Linked DNA regions of Macaca fascicularis. The protein of the gene in region 3 interacts with the protein of the main gene of each other region in a pairwise test. Links are inferred from orthologs where the notes say so. Each region holds a gene or a part of one and is shown on either strand. Other genes may lie near its edges. The genes, in order: LGALS3, KLHL12 and PRR13.

The links.
Region 1: the proteins of PRR13 (region 3) and LGALS3 interact in binary tests that used the Homo sapiens proteins (3 or more experiments, as listed by UniProt). The two-hybrid records come from large-scale screens. The link is inferred for Macaca fascicularis from reciprocal best matches to the Homo sapiens genes PRR13 and LGALS3.
Region 2: the proteins of PRR13 (region 3) and KLHL12 interact in binary tests that used the Homo sapiens proteins (3 or more experiments, as listed by UniProt). The two-hybrid records come from large-scale screens. The link is inferred for Macaca fascicularis from reciprocal best matches to the Homo sapiens genes PRR13 and KLHL12.

What each region holds. Positions count from the first base shown.
Region 1 is NC_088381.1:122,989,117-122,992,864, reverse strand, and holds the start of LGALS3 (galectin-3), read right to left. Parts: upstream 2,457-3,748; 5' UTR 786-2,456; intron 1-785. UniProt on the Homo sapiens protein: Galactose-specific lectin which binds IgE. May mediate with the alpha-3, beta-1 integrin the stimulation by CSPG4 of endothelial cells migration.
Region 2 is NC_088375.1:60,664,833-60,668,480, forward strand, and holds part of KLHL12 (kelch-like protein 12), read right to left. Parts: intron 280-3,648; coding exon 130-279; intron 1-129. UniProt on the Homo sapiens protein: Substrate-specific adapter of a BCR (BTB-CUL3-RBX1) E3 ubiquitin ligase complex that acts as a negative regulator of Wnt signaling pathway and ER-Golgi transport.
Region 3 is NC_088385.1:60,246,072-60,249,819, reverse strand, and holds the start of PRR13 (proline-rich protein 13), read right to left. Parts: upstream 2,186-3,748; 5' UTR 2,144-2,185; intron 2,034-2,143; 5' UTR 1,945-2,033; intron 1,252-1,944; 5' UTR 1,232-1,251; coding exon 1,213-1,231; intron 528-1,212; coding exon 154-527; intron 1-153. UniProt on the Homo sapiens protein: Negatively regulates TSP1 expression at the level of transcription. This down-regulation was shown to reduce taxane-induced apoptosis.

The DNA.
Region 1 (3,748 bases), on a different chromosome or scaffold from region 3:
ACTTAGTCAATAGCGAACTGGAAGTATACAGCAAGCACTGCCTAGCCTGGCTCTCAAGTTACCCACTCAGAATTTAATGAGAAGATCAGTTCAGGCACCAGACACAAGGAGCTACCCTTGAGTGGGAGCCTGTGTCCCAAACGACAGGAAAGAAGAGCTATGTTTGAGATCAGTTACCGCAAGTATCAAGTACGTAAGTTTACAAGTCACTTGGCATTTAAGGTCAACACGAGATTCTGAAGGCATACTACATGAACATAGGTCTCGGCTGCAGTTAAGGTTTATAGTCTGGCTAATGAAAGTTCTATGTAAAAAGGTACCTAAATTATACATGAGACCAGCATTAGCCTCTTGACCTCACTAAGTGAAAAGTCTTTATAAAGCACCTATGCATATTTGTAGCACAGCGAACTATCATAGATTAAAGACCTCTTAACAGAGCAAGACACCTATTCTACTTGGACACAACTAGTTTTCAGGGTCAATCCATCAGGCGGTACTCGTCCTCTTGTGCTTCTTACGTAACTTTTGAGGCATCCTCCTAGCACTTCTAAGTGCTAAATATTCAAGGACCATCATCAAACTTCTCCCCAGAATCTGGACTAAGTGCTGATTTTAAATGTCACCTCTAAATATGAATTTAGGAAGCTGCTTAAATCCCCCAAAGATCAAGGATGGGGTATGATCATCCCTAGAATGAGAGACCCTACCCTAAGGATTTAGAGTCAATGTCTAAAAGGGAGACCATTGTTGGAGAAAAGTAAATAATCATTATTCAACTTTACCTTTCGTGGAAACACACAATTTCCTAGCATGAAATGTTTATAAACTTGAGGTAGGCCAGGCGCAGTGGCTCAGGCCTGTAATCCCAGCACTTTAGGAGGCCGAGGCGGGTGGGTCACCTGAGGTCAGGAGTTCGAGACCAGCCTGATCAACATGGAGAGACACCCCCATCACCACCACCACCATCACTAAAAATACAAAATTAGCCGGGCATGGTGGCGCATGCCTGTAATCCCAGCTACTCGGGAGGCTGAGGCAGGAGAATTGCTTGAATCCAGTAGGCGGAGGTTGCAGTGAGCCGAGATCGTGCCATTGCCTGGGCAACAAGAGTGAAACTGCGTCTCAAAAAAACAAACAAAAAACACAAAAAACAAAAACCTTGAAGTAAACAAATCAGAACTTTGGAAGCTGACGACAGCTTTTTCTTCTCAAGCTCTGTGCCCAAGTGGTTCATTGTATCAGCCTCATTTTCTTCAGAATTAACTGAGCCTTCTCCCATTCCTTTCCCACAATCCTAGAAACAGCCTGGGTCACTGAGGTCCAGGTGTCCTCATTGTGCAGCAACCCAACTCCCAGAGTCACTTTACAAACATTCCGCAGTCTCTGGAATCGGCATGGCTAACTTGAAGGGTAAGACTGAGGCCTAAGTCCCAGCCTCCACCATGCGTCCCCGATTCCCTGGCCCTTAGTGCCTACTTCTCAGAGGGCAATCGTTTTAGTGTTTCTATTTGAGCACCCAATAATTCAGAATAAACTCTCAAACATGTTTTGGGAGTCCCCCGCTAGGGCTCTGCACACTAGGACCAACATTCTGCCACACCCAACACTTCCTCGGCACAGACAGTCTGGGCAGGGAAGGGCATTTGATTCGGAAAAGCTTAAGAGTTTGCAGTCTTCGCTAAGCCGGGTCATGCCCACTCAGGCCATGGGGCAAGCACCATTTCTGTGGGATTAGCAACCAGAGAGCGGCTGCAGCCCGGCCGCAGCTGGTCCTCGTGGAAGAACTCATTCGCGCCCCACAGAGAGATCTCCTCCGAGTCCAGCCTCAGCTGATGCTCAAAAGGGGCCGGGCGAGCCAAGCTGTGGGTTCCGGGAGGCGCCCTATGCAGTCCTCAGAAGTCCCTTCGCTCCCCCGCGGCCGAGCTCTGGGGAAGGGTTACCCGGCCCCAACCCCAGTTAGAGAAACTGGAGCGGCCGTCTGGTTTGCTGAGCGAGTCCCTCCGCCTCCCCTCGCAGCGGGACCTGGCAGGACTGGGGTGACCAGACCGCGGCTCTTCACCGGATGGGGCTTACTCCGGGGCCGCAGAGCGCAGCCGGCGGAGGTGCGACGGCGGTGAAGCCCCCGAGGCTCCGCAGAAGGTGGCCCGTGCCGCCGCGGGGACGTGTGTGGGTCTCGGAAGGCGCTGCCAACCTTTCCCGAGCGCCAGCGCCCTCAAGAATCAAAGGCGACCGCCCCGGGCCCGCCGCCCCGCACCCGGAGGGCAGAGCACAGGCTGTGGGGCTCTCCGCGCGCGTCCCGGCCTGGTCCCGGGGAGCCGAACCCCTCCGAGCCGCGCCCTAAGCAGCGCCCGGGCGCACTCACCCCTGCCCGGCCGGAGCCGCGTCCCCAGCGCCCCGCGCCGCTCACCGCTCGTTGGCTGGTTCCGGACGGCTGCTAACGAGGAGGTGCGGGCGCCGGCGGGGCGGTGGCTCCGAGCCTCAAATACTCCCAGCGCCGCCCGGCCCGCCTCTCCCGAGGCGGGGCGGCTCCCCTGCCCAGCCCAGCCTCTCCCCGGACCATGCTGGGCGAGCCCCGCGTCCGCCTGACACCCCGCGCCGCCGCCGCAGGGGCGACCAGGAAGCTCCCGACGGGCAGAGCGCGGGCTGAGGGGCGCGCCCTCTGCCACCACCGTTCGGTTCCGTGGCGCTCCGGGGGCCTGGGCTGCGGCCGCGTCTCTCCCCCGCCCTCTCCAGAATCACCTGAGTGAAGAATTCACTGAGGGGAATTCAATTAATAGGTTGCTTTATTTGTAGAATACAAAACCAAAAACCTTTTCAATGTCTATTGCCTAGGGAACTGACTACAAATTGACTACTTATTCTAGATCAATAGGCCTAGTCTCAAAGCAATTCCCTTATGAAGCAATTAGACAACTCTTTAACACATTTTGCACAGGAAATTCACATTATATATATATATCCTCCTTTTAACTTCACCTTATGTTTTCGTTGGAAGAAAGAGATAAGTATTATTATCTCATTTTTACTCTCAGGGTGCTATAGTCTGAATGTTTATATCCCGCCAAAGTTCATATGTTGAAATCCTAACCCTCATGGTGATGTGTTAGGAGGTGGAGGCCTTGCGAAGTGATTGGGTCATACGGGCAGGGTCCTTATGAATGAGATCGGTGCCCTAATAAAAGAGGCCGGAGAGAGACCCCTTGCCACTTCCACCATGTGAAGACACAGCCGGAAGGCGCCCTCTGTGAACCAGAAAGCAGGCCCTCACCAGACACCAAATCTGCTGGCCTGGGGATTTCCCGACCTTCAGAACTGTGGGAAATAAATGTATATTATCTATAAGCTACCCAGTTTATGATATTTTGTTACAGAAGCCCAAACAGACTAAAAGAGAAAATGATTTACTTATCCAAGCTCACTCATGTCTAGGAACAAAATCCAGAAATCCTGACTCTTAAACTTTATCTGGAAAAGCACCAGGTCAAAGAATCCTTGCAGGCCAAAACAAGGATCTCTGAGGAAAAAAAAAAAATTAAGGGGGGTAAGGGAAGAATCTTTGCAGGAACCGGCTTATGTAACCTATGGAGAAAACCAGTTATCATCTGGTTCCTAAATAATTCCTGTAGCCCTTATAGTAACCAATTAATAACATAAAGATAAATTATTTCCTGCAGTTTTTCAGCTTAGGGATATGTTCCTGTAAGGGACTCACTTGATGGAATTGAGAAGCTGTCTTGGCATTCTC
Region 2 (3,648 bases), on a different chromosome or scaffold from region 3:
CTCACTGGCATTCCTAGACAGGCAAACCAGGAGACTCTGTGCCTACGTTAAAATAATCAGTTTTGAATACAGAACACTAAGGTAAGAGTTTGTCAAGGTTTTGGATCCTGAGAGTGTTGCACCACTTACCTCAGCATCTATTACATCCGTGATATACCTGGGGGTCAGCAGGGGCATACGCACATACTGTAGCAGGTTAGGCAAGGATTCTTCCCGCTCTTTCTTGGCATGCTTCACCCAGTTGATGACAGCCTCAAAGACTGGCTCTTCAGAATCCACCTGTAAATGTGTAATTACACACCGTGGATCCTAGTTTTCCAATTAGCTCACCATCTCAAAAAGTAACCACGTTCACTTTCTCCTTCCTGCTTTCCCATTGCCCATCACCATTATTTCCCATCTTCCAGAAACAGCTAGGCTCTTGGGAAAACATTTTTTTCAGACACAGCTAACAGACCAGGAAAAGAATTATAGTCAATTTGGGTTATACACACACACACACACACACACACACACACACACACACATATGAATGATAAACAGTACGTAATAAATCACTAGTCACATATTGGCCTTCGTTTCAGAATTTTCCCCATTCCTGAATTGCCTCTGGTCATCTCTCTAACTTTAGGGAAGGTAGGTGGGGGAATCTGTTGCCTTATTGACAATCAGCTCTTGAAATAATTTTTAGTCATAATTGTTATCTAATGATCTCCAGGCTCACCCCTCAAATTGTTCATCCAAGCCTCTGAAGCAGGAGCTTTTCTAACATCATTAGTTGCTGTTTTCAAAAGCATTATCGCCTTTCTGCCCGTGGATGCTGCCAAAGTAGTATCTTTAAAGTCTGTCTTCTCCCTGCCCTCAGGTCTAAGTCAGAGTCTCCAAAAGAGCCCGAACAGCGGAGGAAGCTCTTCATTGGAGGGTTGAGCTTTGAAATAACCAATGAGAGCCTAAGGAGTCATTCTGAGCAATGGGGAATGCTCATGGACTGTGTGGTAATGAGAGATCCAAACACCAAGCGCTCAGGGGCTTTGGGTTTGTCACATTGGCCACTGTGGAGAAGGTGGATGCAGCCATGAATGCAAGGCCTCACAAGGTGGATGGAAGAGTCATGGAACCAAAGAGAGCTGTCTCAAAAGAAGATTCTCAAAAGACCAGGTGCCCACTTAACTGTGAAAAAGGTATTTGTTGGCAGCATTAAAGAAGACACTGAAGAACATCACCTAAGAGATTTTTTAACAGTTTGGAAAAATTGAAGTGATTGAAATCATGACTGACTGAGCCAGTGGCAAGAAAAGGGGCTTTGCCTTTGTAACCTTTGATGACCATGACTCTGTGAATAAGACTGTCATTCAGAAATAACACCCTATGAATGGCCACAACTGTGAAGTTAGGAGAGCCCTGTCAAAGTAAGAGATGGCTAGTGCTTCATCCAGCCAAAGAAGTCGAAGTGGTTCTGGAAACTTTGCTGGTGGTCGTGGAGGTGGTTTCAGTTGAGATGACAGCTGTGGTGGTGGTGGATAAGCGGCAGTGGGGATGGCTATAATGGATTTGGTAATGATGGAAGCAATTCTGGAGGTGGTGGAAGCTACAGTGATTTTGGCAATTACAAGACCCATGAAGGGAGGAAACTTTGGAGGCCGAAGCTCTGGGCCCCTATGGTGGTAGAGACTAATACTTTGCCAAACCACGAAACCAAGGTGGCTATGGTGGTTCCAGTAGCAGCAGTAGCTATGGCAATGGCAGAAGATTTTAATTAGGAAATAAAGCTTAGCTGGAGGGGGAGCCAGAGAAGTGACAGGGAGGCTACAGGTTACAACAGATTTGTGAATTTAGCCAAGCACAGTGGTGGCAGGGCCTAACTGCTACAAAGCAGACATATTTTACACAAATACTCATGTGTATGGGCAAAAAACTCGAGGACTGTATTTGTGATTAATTGTATAATAGGTTATTTTAGTTTCTGTTCTGTGGAAAGTGTAAAGCATTCCAACAAAGGGTTTTAATGCAGATTTTTTTTTTTGCAGCCATGCTGTTGATTGCCAAATGTAATAGTCTGATCGTGATGCTGAATAAATGTCTTAAAAAAAATAAAAAGGAAAAGCATTATCAATTAGCCTTCAAGGAACTACTGTGTATTAGGCACTATGCTATTTGAGAAGATATAATTAATTAATCATCTGGAGAACTTAGGTCTAAGATTACATATGACCAATTAGATAATGGGAGATACACTCTAAAAAAAAACCTATTCTACAATACTGGAAGGTCCTAGGTATATAATAACACCTAGAACTTCCCAAAGACAGACACCTGAATACAGGTCCTGTGTCCCTTCTACAAGCCCCTAGAGAGTACATATTCTGGGAGATACCTTTCAGAGTGTCACTGTGACTAGATAAAAAAATCACTCTGTAAACTTTTTCCAAGAACTGTGATACTCTAAAAATGCAGACAGTGTTTCAAAAAGTGCATTCATTTGAGGGAGTTACTGAACTCCTCTCCTAAGTGCCAGGCACTGCCCTGGAAACTGATTACACAATGGTGAACAAATCAGATATGGTGAACAAATCAGATATGATCCATGCTCTTAAGTGGGGAGTCAAACTGCTAAATCAGAAAAATGAAAAAACTCACTATTATTACATACTATATAGGAAAGGTACTGGGGCTATGAGACAGAACAACATGAGATTTTCTGGTTTAGATTGGTGAGGCAGGGAAGGCCTCCTTGAAGAAGCAACAAATTGAAATCTGATGGATGAGTAGCAGTTAGCCAGGGGGAGTAAGACAGTACTCCCAGGCAGGACCCGGCACGGTAGCTCATGCCTGTAATCCTAGCACTTTGGGAGGCCGAGGCAGGCAGATCACGACGTCAGGAGATCGAGACCATTCTGGCTAACACAGTGAAATCCCATCTCTACTAAAAATACAAAAAATTAACCAGGGCGTGGTGGCGGGCGCCTGTAGTCCCAGCTACTCAAGAGGCTGAGGCAGGAGAATGGCGTGAACCTGGAAGGCGGAGCTTGCAGTAAGCCAAGGTCGCGCCACTGCACTTCAGCCTGGGCGACAGAGCAAGACTCTATCTCAAAAAAAAAAAAAAAGAAAAAAAAGAGAGAGAGAGAGAGTACTCCCAGGCAGAGAGAAGAGCACACTCAAAAGCACCAGAAGTGCATTGTCCAATACACTACCCATGTGTGGCTATTTACATTCACCATAATTAAAATTAAAAATCAGCTTCTCAGTTGCATTAGCTACATTTCAAGTGCCCGATAGCAACATGGGGCTAGCAGGAGCAAACTAAACAGTATAGATATAGAGTACTTCCATCTTCGTAGAATGTTCCATTGAACAGCTCTGTCCTACAGCAAAAAAGAACTGGCAGCTTGAGGAAATGACTAGAAGGCTAGTGTAGCAGAGTGAATGAGGGTGATAGAGGAGTAAAATATGAAGCTGGAGAGTCAAGCAAGGGCCAGATACAGAGAGCATTAGAATACTGGATTTCACTCTAAGTGCAACTTGAAATCATCCGCAGGTTTCAAGCAGGCTACTGATATGATCATATTGATGTTTTGTAAACATTATCCTGGCTACTGTGGGTAGAACAGTTTAAAGGGCCAAGAGCTAGAAGAGCTTAGACGCTGCTCT
Region 3 (3,748 bases):
CAATCTTTTACAAAAAGGAAGAATCATCGACCAGAGTGACACAATCGTCATCCCCCACGTCCACAGAATGTGAATCCCCCTCACCCAACCCCTGCCTACCTAGTCCCTCTGAGGGGGCACCCCTTCCCTAGCCAGGCTCCAGAGGGTACTGACCTTGCCACGCTTGTGGTGCTTGTGGTGCTTGTTCATCTTTTTATGAGCTTTCTTCATTTTCTTCTGCATCTTCTTGTCCACTATCACTGCTGGTCCGACCATGCCAGGAGCCAAGGGATTCACAGGAGGGATTCCAGGGGCAGGAGGTGGGTATGGAGGAGGGTAGGGACCCAAGGGTTGGCATCCTGGATACCCTGGCTGTGGCACAGGATGAGGGGGCCCACCTGGGGGGAAAGCTGGATTGCCCTGGGGAGCTCCTGGGGGAGGAGGACAGGGGCCTGAGGGAAAGAGTGGGTTAATAGGTGGTGGGTGGGCAGGATTGGAACCTCCAGGGCACCCGATGTTGGGGGTATATGGATTTGGCCCTGGCTGCCCTGGGGGAAGAAGCAGATTATAAACATTAGTATTCCCCAGAGTCTCCGACAACAAACAACAAAAAGAAAGAGATTCTTTCTCACCCAATACTTAAAGGGAAATGGAAAAGTGACAAAGGAGAATAGAAGGTAGGGGAGACAAACCTGAGTTGAGGATAAAAGGGGAATGTCCCCGTAAGGGCTGGAGAGAGGAGGGAGACAGTGAACTCTGAGGAAGACAAAAGTACTGGTCAGGCCGGTGGGGCGTGGTGGCTCAAGCCTGTAATCCCAGCAGTTTGGGAGGCCGAGGTGGACAGATCACATGAGGCCAGGAGTTCAAGACCAGCCTGGCCAACATGGTGAAACCCCGTCTCTACTAAAAATACAAAAAGTAGTCGGGCGTGATGGCGCACGCCTGTAATCTCAGCTACTCCAGAGGCTGAAACAGGAGAATCGCTTGAACCCAGGAGGCGGAGGTTGCAGTGAGCCGAGATCGCGCCACTGCACTCCAGCCTGGGCGACAGAGACTCCGTCTCAAAAAATAAATAAATAAAATAAAATAAAAAAGCACTGGTCAGCTGTAGACTAAGGACTTTGCTTTTGCGGGTGTGGCGGGTCGGGGATGGGGCAGCTGATAGAGAAACTTCCTGTTACAGAGTCCATCAGAAAAAGGGTTAGGGGTCGTACAGAACCCCCAAACACCTACCGGCATTGGGATTCCACATGTTTAGGTGTGTCCTCCAGCCTGAGGAGAAAGAAATGAGGCAAAAAAGATGACAGTCTAGAGGTAGGAAGTGGACTTAGCACCGGAGCCCAGCCCTAACGTCTTCCACCCCACAGTAGGCTCTCCCACCTGGAGAACTACCACGACTTCCACATAAGACACATCTCTTTTCTGGCTGGGCGCGGTGGCTCACGCTTGTAATCCCAGCACTTTGGGAGGCCAAGGCGGGTGCATCACGAGGTCAGGAATTCGACACCAGCCTGGCCAACATCGTTAAACCCCGTCTCTACTAAAAATCTAAAAATTAGCCGGGCGCGGTGGCGGGCGCCTGTAATCCCAGTTACTCGGGAGGCTGAGGCAGGAGAATCGCTTGAACCTGGGAGGCGGAGGTTACAGTGAGCTGAGATCGCGCCACTGCACTCTAGCCTGGGCAACAGAGCGAGACACCGCCTCGAAAAAAAAAAAAAGAAAGAAATGTCTCTTTCCACTTGTTTCTTCGCCCTCAATACCTACTTGGTTCCTAACACAGGAATCTAGTTCCCAGGGCCCCTCCACCTAGGTTGAAGCGTCTAACTCTTCGCAAGAGGGCATAGCCCGCGAGTCTCGGCACCCCCATCATTCATCCCCCTTTCCTGGAACTGAGTCCGGAGGCCTTTAACCACCCACAGAGTAAGAAAGGATCTCAAACAACTTTCTCCCTGGGGAGGACCTCACCTCAGGCTAAGAAAAGGATACGCCTGGAGGCGAAGAAGGAAGTTGCTCAAGAACCTCAAATACTTAAATAAATGGACACAGCCCAATTCCTCCAAAAAAGAAAAAAGGCAAATGAAGATCCTAGCCCCAAGCTGCGAAGGGGCTCTTAACCCAGCAATGGGAAAAGGAATAAACCCATGGAATTCAGATACCACGTCACCTTTCCACCGCCGCCTGGACTTGATGCGTTCTTCGCAGTCTCGGCTCTTACTTCCTAGTCACACCTAGTCACCCAGACCCCGTGCTTCGGTACCCGCCTCTGCTACTGCCTAATTGGTAATTATGTGGCCACTCGGCTGATGATTGGACAACAAACTAATCAATCACTCTGGTCCAACTGAGGAGGAAACGGTTGCTCTAGCTGCAGACCGGAGCCCTTTACGACTAGGCAAGTACTGAGAAGCCGGAAATCTCCTGGGGGCGGAGCTAGGCGGAGAGCGCTAGAGGGGGCGGGGCCAGCTGCTGGGCAAAGTCCTAGAGACACCGAGAAGAAACTCTGCCCTTGCTCTCTGCTAGTCATGGTTCACTGGGTGCAATACCTTGTAAAGTGAATACACTATGGTAAGTGTTGTAATACAGATATAGACAGAGTTCTCGGCAAGGGCAGAGGAGCTGCTGAGTCCTAGCCCCAAGCCTCAATGTTCTCGGCTCCCTCTTACACTCGCAAGGGAAGCAAACAAACATTCTTGCGGAAAATACAGAGATTTCATAATCTCTCCCAGGATTCCCTCTCTCAATTGCATAGCTCCGCCATCTGTCAAGAAGCCTAAACCAGAAACCAAGGAGGTCTTCCGTGATCCCTCTGTCTCCTTCACCTCCCTTACCCCAAATTACCAGTTTTGTCTCACAAATACATCTGGAATCTCTCCACTTCTCTCCGTCTTCCCTGGTCTAAACCTCCCATCATCTCTCGCCTGGATTCATTTCTCCCCTGAATTGCTACAATGGCCTCTTTTTTTTTTTTTTTTTTTTTTTTTTTTTTTTTTTTTTTTTGAGACGGAGTCTCGCTCTGTTGCCAGGCTGGAGTGCAGTGGTGCGACCTCAGCTCACTGCAACTTCCGCTTCCCGCGTTCAAGCGATTCTTCTGCCTCAGCCTCCCGAGTAGCTGGGACTACAGGCGCGGCTAATTTTTGTATTTCTTAGTAGAGATGGGGTTTCACCATGTTGGCCAGGATGGTCTCCATCTCTTGACTTCGTGATCTGCCTGCCTCGGCCTCCCAAAGTGCTGGGATTACAGGCGTGAGCCACCGCGCCCAGACTTTTTTTTTTTTTTTTTAAAGAAAACAATACAAGTGGCCAGGTACATTGGCTCATGCCTGTAATCCAAGCACTTTGGGAAGCCGAGGCGGGCGGATCACGAGGTCAGGAGTTCGAGACCAGCCTGGCCAATATGGTAAAACCCCGTTTCTACTAAAAATACAAAAATTAGCCGGGCGTGGTGACATGTGCCTGTGATCCCAGCTACTTGGGAGGCTGAGGCAGGAGAATCGCTGAACCCGGGAGGCGGAGGTTGCAGTGAGCCGAAATCGAAATCGTGCCACTGCACTCCAACCTGGGTAATAGAGTGAGACTCCGTCTCAAAAATAATAATAATAAACAACGACAACAAAAAAATCACACACAATACAATTAACAAACTTGACCTGATGAACATGCATTGAACCATGCTCTCAAAACTTAATGACTGCTAATTCTCCTTAAGCATGCTTAGAGCATTTATAAAAATTGGTCACATTCTAAGTTAAGCATGTCTCAACTGATGCAA